Linked DNA regions of Macaca fascicularis. The protein of the gene in region 3 purifies or fractionates together with the protein of the main gene of each other region. This does not show direct contact. Links are inferred from orthologs where the notes say so. Each region holds a gene or a part of one and is shown on either strand. Other genes may lie near its edges.

Region 1 (4,005 bases), on a different chromosome or scaffold from region 3:
GAGAGAGAAATTTATTTGACTGCCTATATGATTTATATCACTAAATATTGCTAGAAATATTAGATCCAAAACCAGAAAAGACTTAAGCACTAGTGAAGAAATAAAAAACATGAAATCTGAACCCAAAACACAAAATATATATAAACATAAAACTGAAAGTTGAGCTCAGTAACCATGCGCAAAGAGTGAAAACTGGATGAGTTTTTAATCATTGATCACAATCTTCATGGAGCTAAGAATTTTTATAATCTCTTAGTCCTGTAAGGCCTACTATATTACTAATCTTACCAGAGCTATTAATACATCACAATTATAGATGATCCGAAAGCAGATTTCCCTGTCAACAAATTATAGTATCCCTTACCAACTTCAAATAGCTTAACTCTTGTGAAAGGAAACGTGTCTTCAAAGAAATGTAAAAACCTGCAAGCTTGCTGGGTGCGGTGGCTCACGCCTGTAATCCCAGCACTTTGTGGGGCAGAGGCGGGCGGATCACCTGAGGTCAGGAGTTCAAGACCAGCCTGGCCAACATAGTGAAACTCCGTATCTACTAAAAATACAAAACTTAGAGGGGCGTGATGGCAGGTGCCTGTAATCCCAGCTACTCGGGAGGCTGAGGCAGGAGAATCGTTTGAACCCGGGAGGCAGAGGTTGTAGTGAGCCAAGATCCAGCCACTGTACTCCAGCCTAGGGGACAGAGCAAGACTCTGTCTGAAGCAACAACAACAACAACAGCAACTGCAAACTTTACAAACTTTAGTGTTATTTGAAAAACTAGAAAGGTTCAATATACAATTATTAAGCACGTATCATTTTTAGGTTACCATTCATGTTTGTGCTCCATATCTGCAGAAATCCCCTTGGACAGTTTTTATTAAAATTTAAATTGTTTGAAAACAAGGATATGCATCTAAAGTTGCAGGAGCTGGAGCCAAATATTCTACATCTAATTAACTGGACGAGTTACTTAAACTCTTTCTAATCTGTAAAAGAAATATTTATATAATGGTCTGGACTCAGCGCATCAGTTTGAATTCCCTCCCCCCCACCCCTCCCCCAAACGCGGATCAGTCCTATGAATCCCATGGATTCAGAAAACACAAATTTATCAACTAAAAAAAATCAGAGACACTTATGTCACCCAAGAAGTGGATTCCTTTAGAGACTTTTAAACTACAGGATTACTGACGTGTTAACAAAAACAGAGAATGGGTCCAGGAAATTATCTTTAAAGTTCATATGGCTGTTTCCATACTATGTTCAAGGTCTGTTCCTCGATTCAAGGTTATTAAGCGCAACACATTTCCCCTTTTAAACTGCCCTCCTAGTAGCACCACCGATAGTAGGTGATAACACTGTAAGGAAGGTCGGATTCTGTCCCGGCTTCCCGGGTCGGCCCGTAAAGGGTGGTTTCGCCTTAACACTTAAAAGTCGGAGAAGGAGGGGCTTGGGGACGCCAGGCGGTTGCCCAGTCAACCAACCCACTTCCTCCTGAAGCCCGGAAGTGACACATGTCCCGGAACCTACGCGGAGCCAGGGTCCGAGACCCTCTGAGCTGCTAATCTCCGTCCTGATCCATTGGTTGGGAAAGAGATTGGAAACATCACCGCAAAACATGCTGCAAACCCCGACTCGGACTCCGCTGGGGCCGAACCAACGCCCTCGCACAGCCTCGACTCCCTCCCCAGCAGCCGGCTCGCCGCCGCCCCTCTCGCAACCAGCCATTTTCCAGGCCCGCGGGAACGCGCGCCGCGCCCCTCCCACTCCCACGTCACACCCGCAGGCCCCGCCCCCGGCGCGGGGGCCCTCCCCGCCACACACGCCCCTCTCTTCCTCTCCCGCGGGGGACCCCTCCCCTCTTAACCATTTTGCCGAAAGAGCTGGGCTAGGGCTGCGGCTCGGGGCGGCCGAGAACTTTCCCGGGGCAAAAGAGCGGAACGGACTGCTCTCCTCCCGGCCGGGGTAGGAGCGCGGAGGAAGGCCCCCTCAATCTGCCTCCGCGGCCTCTCGCCCCCTCCCTCCCGCACGTTCCAAAGCACCCGCACTCCGGGGTGGGGGCGAGTGAGGTGGGGAAGTGCGCCCCGCAGACCAGCGGGAGCCCGGCCGCTCACTCCCTCTGGCCCTTGCCCGGCTGCAGTCCTGGGCCGGGGCGGCAGGGTCTGCGGCACGGGGCAGGCGAGCGCCTGAACAAATGCTTGCTGCTTAAAATGGCTGATTCCCCTCCGCGGCAGCTGCAGCCGCTGGGTCTGCAGCGGGGGCTGACGAACAGCCCCCACCCCCACTCCGGGGACCCCAGAGAAGTACTCGCCCACCGCGGGGCAAGGAGGGCCGCGAACCCAGTCTCCAGTCCTCCCCGTCCCGCTCGGCAGACCCTCGGTGGGCTCGGGGAGACTGTCACGGGAGAAAGGGAAGGTGGCACTGCCCCGGCAGGCTCCCTGCCACCGGCTCCCGAGGCCGGCAGCCCCGCGGCCCCTACCTTGATATTTGTTGTCCAGCTCTCGCAGCACAGACACGTTCCTCTGCATGTCGTGGGGCAGCGACTCCACGCACTCAAGGTAGTCCTGCACGTAGCAGGTGAGCAGCCGGCTCCGCTCCCCGGTCAGGAGCGCGGCCGACGAGTACAGTTGCTGCTGCTGCTGCCCTAACATCCTGCCGATGCGCGCCGTCGCCGCCGCCTCCGCATCCAGCAGCCGCACATGCACCGGCCGCGGCCGCCGCGGTCCCTCAGCTCAGCAGCCCGGCGCCGCGGGGACCCCGCAGCCGCTCGAGAGGGCACGGCCGCGCTCCCCGATCTCCACTCCCCCCAGAGCAGCCCTCACTCCCCGCCCCCGCAGCACCAGCCCAGGGGCGGGGCGAAACTGGGGCTCCCTCCTTTCTCCCCTCCCGCTCCAGGACCGGAGCAGTGGGGATCCCCTCAGCGGGGCCGGCGCCGGGGTCCCGGACGCTGACACTTCCTGTCCCCCTCGGAGTCCCCAGATGCTACCAGTGCCGTCTCGCAGCCCGGATCCCCATGACAAGCCCGTCGCCGCCTGCCTGTCCCCAGTCACCCTCCGTGCCTGACGGGGAGCCTCCCGCTGGCCTGCCCCCGCCCCTCCGCCCGCGGCCGCCTCTGCGCCTGCGCAGCGCTCGATCCCAATAAGGCCGGGGCCCGCCCCTACCGCCTACCGGAGGGTTCGCATTCTCCCGCCTTCGCTTTGCCGCCCGGGCGATTGGTCTGCCGGCTCCGGGCTAGGGGGGGAGGGTGTCGGGGGCGGCCAAACGGCAGGCCGCGCCCCGCCCCCCTTAAAGGGGAAGCCTGGGGAGCCAGTCTCTGCGCCCCGCGTCTGAATGGGACCCGGCAGGGGAGGCGGCTCGGTCCTTCCGGCCGCCCTCCCCGCGGGGAGGGGCAGCTCCGCCCGGCCACACCGGCTTTTTACCCATCCGGCGGTCCGAGTGCGGCTCCTCGCGCCCCTGCAAAGGAGCAGCAGGCGGTTCCTTTTTTTCGGACGACCCGGAGCGAGGCCTGCAGGACTGCGCGTCCCGGCGGGCAGCGGGCGGCAGGCGGCGGGCGGCTCCCGGCATGCGCGGCAAGGCGTTCCCGCCGCCTCCGAGCTCGCCTGGGGCTGCCGCCCTCCTCCTGCCGGGCCCTCGGGCTCGTCCGGCACCGTGGGGCTGATCGGGGAGGTAGGCGGTGCTTCCTCCGGCCCCCGGCGTCGTGTGCCCTGCGGGTTTCGTGGCCCTTCCCCTGCGCTGGAATCTTCTATGTCATTTAGGGGGAAGGGATGCGGGACGGCATCTGCCTGCCAACACATAGGTCCCACAGACAGCCTTTAAAAACAACTGCGTTTGGGGTGTGTCAGAACATTTAAACACAGGACGTCGGCGGGGCTTCCTGGCGGAGTGGGGCACACGCCAGCTTTACGGGACTTTTTGCTTGGTCCTGCCCCAGGACTACAATCGGAGGGGACCTGGGGCATGCAGACGCGAGTAAAAACCTAGTCAGCGGGCGGGCCCTCGGCCCCGTAA
Region 2 (4,099 bases), on a different chromosome or scaffold from region 3:
TTTTAAAAAAAGGAAACGAAAGGAAGAAAAAAAAAATTTTAATCTCAAAGACTTTCAACCTAACTACATTTCTTTTAACCAAACATTTATAGGGCACCTAAGAAGTGACAGGCACTACAACACTGGGAACTGTGACAGATTACATTTACTCCAAACTAAACCTTTTATTTATTCAGCTTCTGAACTTATTATTATTCAAACCAAAACTTTTCTTAAGAAATTCTCACCCAACATCAAGGTACATATATGAGTGACCTAATAAATGCACTTTTCACTGTTTTACACAGGTCACGAGAGTTATAGCTAGGATTTGTGACTAACAAAAGGGATTCATTCCTGAAACATGTCGATGCTGTTTTCTTTTACGTGAAAATGAGATAGGAATAAACTGTTTCAGGTAGTTTACAGCATCCCAAACTCAAAGAGAAAACCTTAAAAAAAATTAGACTACACTTAATTACTCTGTATAGTAGACCAAAATTTAAGTAGCCACAGCTTTTACCTTCTGCAACCACAGGTATTACAAATTTTAATTTGGATGCAGTACTGTCCAAGTCGTCTTGATTCTGAGGACAAGTGAAATTTTTTTAAAATAGTTCAAAGAAACTGTCAAAAGTAGATAACGTTGATATTCTAACATGCTATCTGTTGCATTTCTACACTTGTGAACACTCTACCCTTTTCAAGCACTTTTGAATTTGTAATGGATGAAAAAATACAAGCTAGTGTCTAAGTTCCACCAGTTGAATCTAGACTTTTCAAAAATCTAAGGTTTCATTCCAGCATGTGTTTAAAACAAAAAAGACAGCATTCATATACATATTCTCTCGTGACCAAAAAAACTGTATTTTTATGGTTATCATTTCTTCCAACAATTAAGCAAATTTTTTGACCCTATTCTCCACTCAGTTAACATGTTTACGTCTAAGAGGAACCTGGCCATCAGTTTTCCACACATCATAATGCAACAGAGCCTCTGACTTATTTGCAGACCAACCAGATCGATAAAGAAAAATAAACCACATAACCCCAAGTGCCTGGAAATACAAGAAACAATTGGTATCTCTGAACTGTGTAAAGATCACCAAAATTATCTTTTTAAATCTTTCAATTAAATTATGTTTGTGACGAATCAAAGAGTTTTCTGCTAAAATTTTACAGTACTGTTCACACAATAGATAAGATTTTCTTTCATCAGTGTAACTGATAGAACCACAATACAGTTCAGTTTCCAGGGTCAGATTACCTGACCTGCTTTTTATTTTACCTTTTAAAACACTTTAATTCATGCCGTTATTCCTCTCATTCCCTACAAAAAGAGGGGTTCAATATGGGAGAATCATCTTCAGTTGAGATATCCTGTAACTGCCTCCAACTCCACAGCAAAGCCCGCCAGCTGACCCCGGTCTCTCTGGGGAAGGGCTCGGTCACCAAGCCACCAAACACACCTTCCTCTGCAAAACTCGGAAGCCCCACACGACGACCTCGTCCAAACCCCCTACTTCCTGAATTCGATAACCCCAGAGATTCGTATTCTGCAGGCAATCTTACCTTCATGATGACTCTGGGACCGAGATATTCTTTAAAACACCGGGTTCACCTGCACCTGGAGGGGAAACAAAAGACACCCAGTCAACACCACAGGCACCCCTCTGCACTGGCGGAGGCGGAGGGAAGGAACCGAGCGACGCCCGAACCCCGAAGAAAGAGCCGCACCAGGCGCCAGCCCCCGAACCATCACACGCCGACTCGGGGCTCCCTCTGGCCCCGCCATCCCCGCAAACCCAGCCACCTACACAGCTCGGCAGCTTCCCGTCCCCATTGTCGAGACCCGACGGAGTTTCCCGTCTACGACAATGACGCCATTTCTGTCAGAGAAGAAACTCACAACAAGCCCGGCGTCCGGCGTGGGGCCGGCCGCTCTCCCCGCGGGCCTCAGCGCCCGGCCGAGCGAGTCCGCGCCCCCATGCGCCGCGTCCGAGGTGGAGGCCCGCCGGGGGCCACCGAGGGCCCAGGAGGGCCTGTGGGCCGCGGGCTGGACCGGCCCGCTGCAGAGCCCCTGCCCACGTCCCGTTCCGGGCGCAGACCCGACAAGTGGGAGCGGGATCAACATCTGGCCTCGCCGCAGGGACAACGTGAGGGCCGAGGGCCCCGGAGGCGGAACGGCCCCCACCCTGCCCGGGCCCCCGACCGCGGCCGCTAAACCGCTGAGTGTGCGGCCGCCCAGCCAGGGGGCGGCTCGGACACAGCGGCTGCGGGGGGTGGGGGCTCCCGGAAGGCCGAGGCCCCGAATTCGGGTGCCGCAGGGACCACCACCGCGATCTTCCTCTGCTCCTCGGTCGGGCCCAGCGACTCCCAAAAGAACCCCTTTAGGAGACCACGAAAGCCCCAGAAAATGTCCCTACCTTCCTCGGAGGCGAGATCTGACCCTGGCACGTCCAGAGTTCCCTCTCTCCTCCTCCCCCCCAAAACCAGTAGGCCTGGGGGAGAGATGGGGAAGAAGGGCGGCGGGTCCAGCGGCTGCTGAGGCAGAGGCTCCGGCTCCTCCTCCTCCCGCGGCGGCGACTGGTACCTTTGTTTGGCGGCCGCTCGGGCTCCCTGGTTGGGGGGAGGGGGACGACGAAAAATCCCTCCCGGACTGGAGGTCCGGGCCCCCAAACGCGCTGCCCTCCAGAGGACGGCGGCGATGGACCCTCTGCAGCTCCCTCCGGGCAAAGGTCCAGGCGGTGGCCGTGGCGGCGGCAAGCTGAAGCTCAAGACTCTCCCTCCGCTCCGGCGACCGAGCTCCTCACTCCGGACTCGACTGACGGGCAAACATCGCTTCCCCCCACCCCGACTCTAGGTCCCCCCCCTTCCTTTCTCCCCTCCCCTAGATTTTTTCCCCCTCCCCTACCTCTTTCCCGGATGGCCTCTTAGACAACCTTGGATTGGTTAAAATTCTTTAGAACCCGCCTATACACTGTTCCTATTGGTCGCTGGATACAAACAACGACGCCATTTTCCCACCAGTTCTATGGAAACAGAGAGTTACGCCTCAAGGCTTCCTGGGAAATGAAGTCCAGCCTCTGGGGCCAACGCGCAAATCCTCGTCCGCGAGAACTGCAAGGCCCGCAATGCCCTGCGCCAGCGTGGACCGGAGAGGAGGAGGGGTGAAAGGGGCGGGGCAACAAAGCAGTAGGGAGGTGGCAACGACGCCTGCGCAGTGTGACCGGGATGGCGCATTTTCTTGCACCGAGTAATGCGGTGTCGCTGGCGGCTGAGGAGGGCGGAGAGTTGTGTGGTGAAGTAGTGGGAGGGATTCATGTAGGCATCGGGAAGAGCCTAAGCCCACACTATAAAATAGGAGGTTAATGCGGGATACAGCTACTGCCGGACCGGCGGCGTGAAAGTCGTGATATCATCGTTGAACTGTGAGCAGCAGTGGCGGCGGCTGGGGGGAACCCGGATGGGAAGGAGGGAGGGGGAGGCTGGGAGGCGGGGCAGAGAGGAAAGAAAGAAAGGAGAGTGAGGACCCGGATGCTGAACCGGATTGTGTATGAATTTTCCATCCCCTAGCTTTAAGCGGGGAGGAGGAGGAAGGGTTGGCCAAATGCGGCGGAAGGGAGCATCTGAGCGAGGAGGAAGCAGAAACCTCACGGTTTCTCTCCCTCCGGACTCTGTGCTAGCACTGTAGACGTTTGCAGTTCTCTGCCCAGCCGCTGTGGAAAATCGGCCTCGAAGTGATAGAAATTCCCTGCTTATATCAGGCTCTTTGAGATCCATCGTCTTTCTCCCGGAGTATGAGTGGAAGGATTCAGGGTGCGCTTCACATTTGTATGTCTCTGTTTAGCCATTCTCAAACCAGGCCCTTCCTTTTGAAAAGATAAGTCGTTTGCATGGGATGTTCGCTTTTTAGACGCAAGGTTGTTGCCCTGGTTTCATCGTCCAACGCGTTAGAAGGCGCTTTCTTTTTTTCATGGCTGCTGAGCGCCGACCACTGGGGTGGCCTCTGCCTTCGTAGACCTGCGCCTGGCGAGATGGACAGATGCTGAACAAAACAATGTGAAATTACCGCAGTGGCAGTGCCCCAGAGGAGAGTTCCGCGGTGATAGGAGAATGT
Region 3 (3,511 bases):
GAATTTGAATTTTGCTTTTACCACTACTAGTTGTGGACTTTGGGCAGGTTACATTTATTTATGAAGTGCAAAGATAATAGCTCTGTTACAGAGCAGCTGTGAGAACTGGATGAGATGATATGTAGAAGGTATAACACATAGTTATCATTCACACTAGCCTTACATTGTCCTTTGATAACAGTGTTATGCTATTATAATAGGTCATGATTTTGAAGATGGTAACAACGTTCCTTTTTACATGGGGTAGAAATCTGCAACTAATAAATGTGAATGAATACCTAAGAAACAGGGCCATATGGGGCGAGATCAATGGCTGGGCTAGACTGTGGGAGAACATGCTATTGCTGTCATATAACTCACCTCAGAGATTAAGGTGTGTAGTGAAAAAAGCATAAAGACCTGAAGACCTTGATTCCAGTCTTTTCCCCTCTCCACCCCTCTTAACCCATTTACTTGCTTGGTAAAATAAGGCAAAATGCATAATTTCTCTTTGCCTTGTTTTCCTTCCGTCTAAAATTGGAGTAACAAAAATAGCCCTGTTTATTGCTTTGTATTGAAGATAAAAAGTATTTGAAAGCTTTTCATAAACTGCAAAACATTATCCTGTAGAAATGGAGTTGTTTTTAGGTTTGATTCTTAACCTAGTTGGGTCATCCAGTAACGATTATCCCATATACAAATCTATTTAAATTTTTTTCCAACAGACTCCCACTATTACCCACTTCACAGGAAAGAGTATCTTAAAAAACCCCACTAGATAAATATTATTTATTCCCTTATGTCATGTGATGATTAAAGGTGCACATGGAGGAGTTTCACCCTCTTTTCAGTGTAAAACTGTGGTTCTCAAATAGGCACGGATCTGAACCAAAGGGATACACTAGTATCATTTTAAAAATATTATTAAATATTCAGTATTTTCTTCCAGGTGGTAGATGCAAGGGCTGGACCCAGTCTAAAGACTACATTGAAACCAAAGAAAGTGAAAACTCTATCTGGGAACAGGATAAAAAGCAACCAGATCAGTAAACTGCAGAAGGAATTTAAACGTCATAGTAAGTTTGATATTACAACATTAGTACTTAATAATTGTTCTGTTATTTTTGGCTGGGGGTGGTGTATGGCATGTGTGGATCATTTTTTCCTTTATTGCTTTTCATAAAGAGCACTGGAAGGCAATATTGACTTGGTAGAGATGTTACCTTATTTCTGTGAAATCTTAGCACTCTTTCTGATGATGATGTCTTGAGAGTATTTCTACTAGCTAACCACTTCAGATTGTACTGAGACCACTCTGATGTCTTTACTGACATCTTAATTTTCTAGGAGGTGCATTTCTAGCTCGTTTACTTGATTTTTATCCATAAGGAAATTGAGTCCTGCAGATGTGCAAGAAGGTACGTAAATAATTAGGGGACAATCTGAGACCAAAGCTCAGGTTTTCTGGAAAGTAACTTTAGAAATCATAACTCACATTTTGAAATACAGCCAACCTCAGGGCTTGCTTTCAGGTTTAAGGGGCAGTGTGTTGTGTTGATAGAGTAAGAAAGGAATGTCTAATGTCAGGTCACATGCTGTTATTGGAAGTTTTGGGGGATTGCTGTAGTGGCACGTCTGTATTTTGGAATTTAGATTTTAGATTTTGAAAAGGAAATACACTGCATATAATGTTATTGTCTAATAAATATCTCTATTACCCTTGGGGTTTGAAGGAGCATTATTGAACCAAACACATTAGTATTTTTACAGCAAAAAGTAGCAGTATTCACATTTAGTGGAATAAATAGATGGTACATAGGCTAGTCAGGTTTGTTTGCTTATAATCATAGTGTAGGTCATGTCAGATTTTGTGGCCAGATAGGTTAGGAATACACTTTGTGTTTCCAGAGCTTTCCCAGAATTGCCGCTAGGGGTTGTGGACCTGTATTGTAGCTCTCAGTACTTATAAAAATCTATAGGGCCCTGTTAGAGAAAACATTATCAATCAAGACAAATGGTTATCATGCTTATTTTAGAATAATGGAAAAAGACATTTAAGTTTAGTGACAGTAAAGTGAGGAGTGCAGGAGAACTCACATTTTTTGAGCATTTTGGTATACTAAGCACTTTACGTATGTAATGATCTCACTTATTTCCATTTTAGAGCTCAGAATAGGAAGCACGAAGGGGTGATTTAACCTTGATCTGGGCCACTTAATAAGTGGTAGAGATGTAGTAATATATTTAGGTAATATAAATGTGTATATGTATTTTAATTATACATTTCCCTTTCCTAACCAGCTCTCAACCCCGCATCTCCCTAAAGATTTAACACTACCTTCCTTTCTCACTAGATGTTTTGTTTTATTTATTTATTTATTTATTTATTTATTTATTTATTTGAAACAGGGTCTTGCTCTATCACCCAGGCTGGAGTACAGTGGTGTGATCTTGGATCACTGCAGCCTCCGTCTCTCGGGTACAAGCAATTTTTGTGCATAAGCCTCCCGAGTAGCTGGGACTACAGACATGCGCCACCGTGCCTGGCTAATTTTTTGTATTTTTAGTAGAGCTGGGGTTTTGCCATGTTGCCCAGGCTGGTCTCAAACTTAGCTCAAGCAATCCACCCACCTCGGCTTCCCAAAAGTGCTAGGATTACATGCATGAACCATCATACCCGGTCCTCACTAGATGTTTTAATGAACATTTGGGAAACACTAATTTTCTTTTATCACTTGAAGGCGGAGGAACTGATTATTCATATGTATATTCTTAGCCCTTTCCCTTAATTATAGGGAAAGTGATATCTCACTTTTGCCTTACTTAAGGGAATATATTCAGTGCAATTTTAGATTTTTATTGTGAAACTGTGCTGTGTAGTAGTTGGAGACTGAAAATAAATTCCTTTTATAATAAGGTGTGTGGATTGTGGAGGCTCAAACTGAAACAAGGTGTTCACCAGGTACATTATAAATTGCTAGCACCTTTGTGCATTGAAGCAGTTGGGAGACATGTGCATTTTTATATATCACCCACTAAAGGGTCTGCGCTTCTGGTTATGTGTTTGCTTCTGTGCATCCTGCACATACCTGGCCTGTATTCTCTTATCTTTCGTTCTTTTTTTTTTTGAGATGGAGTCTTATTCTGTCACCCAGGCTGGAGTGCAGTGCCGCTATCTCAGCTCATGGCACTATCTCAGCTCACTGCAACTTCTGCCTCCTGGGTTCAAGTGATTGTCCTGCCTCAGCCTCCTGAGTAGCTGGGATTACAGGCACCTGCCACCATGCCCAGCTAATTTTTGTATTTTTAGTAGGTACAGGGTTTTGCCATGTTGGCCATGCTGGTCTTGACCTCCTGACCTCAGGTGATCTGCCCTGCTTGGCCTCCCAAAGTCCTGGGATTACAGGCCTGAGCCACCTTGCCCAGCCCTGTATTCTCTTTTCGAGACATTTTGTGGTGTACTGGAAAGGCATTGGACCTAGAGTTACAGATCTGGATTTGAATTTTGGCTCTTCTCACTAGCAGATGTGTG

Evidence for each region. The genes of interacting proteins can lie anywhere in the genome.
Region 1: the proteins of SINHCAF (region 3) and ING2 purify together in Homo sapiens (affinity purification with mass spectrometry; 3 studies listed by BioGRID and IntAct, counting the BioPlex papers as one, with this or other methods). This does not show direct contact. The link is inferred for Macaca fascicularis from reciprocal best matches to the Homo sapiens genes SINHCAF and ING2.
Region 2: the proteins of SINHCAF (region 3) and ARID4B purify together in Homo sapiens (affinity purification with mass spectrometry; 3 studies listed by BioGRID and IntAct, counting the BioPlex papers as one, with this or other methods). This does not show direct contact. The link is inferred for Macaca fascicularis from reciprocal best matches to the Homo sapiens genes SINHCAF and ARID4B.

What each region holds. Positions count from the first base shown.
Region 1 is NC_088379.1:188,295,841-188,299,845, reverse strand, and holds the start of ING2 (inhibitor of growth protein 2), read right to left. Parts: upstream 2,806-4,005; 5' UTR 2,649-2,805; coding exon 2,477-2,648; intron 1,628-2,476; exon of another isoform or gene 832-1,627; coding exon of another isoform or gene 825-831; intron 1-824. UniProt on the Homo sapiens protein: Seems to be involved in p53/TP53 activation and p53/TP53-dependent apoptotic pathways, probably by enhancing acetylation of p53/TP53. Component of a mSin3A-like corepressor complex, which is probably involved in deacetylation of nucleosomal histones.
Region 2 is NC_088375.1:13,791,577-13,795,675, reverse strand, and holds the start of ARID4B (AT-rich interactive domain-containing protein 4B), read right to left. Parts: upstream 2,806-4,099; 5' UTR 2,406-2,805; intron 1,607-2,405; 5' UTR 1,558-1,606; coding exon 1,552-1,557; intron 1-1,551. UniProt on the Homo sapiens protein: Acts as a transcriptional repressor. May function in the assembly and/or enzymatic activity of the Sin3A corepressor complex or in mediating interactions between the complex and other regulatory complexes.
Region 3 is NC_088385.1:33,857,278-33,860,788, reverse strand, and holds part of SINHCAF (SIN3-HDAC complex-associated factor), read left to right. Parts: intron 1-928; coding exon 929-1,055; intron 1,056-3,511. UniProt on the Homo sapiens protein: Subunit of the Sin3 deacetylase complex (Sin3/HDAC), this subunit is important for the repression of genes encoding components of the TGF-beta signaling pathway.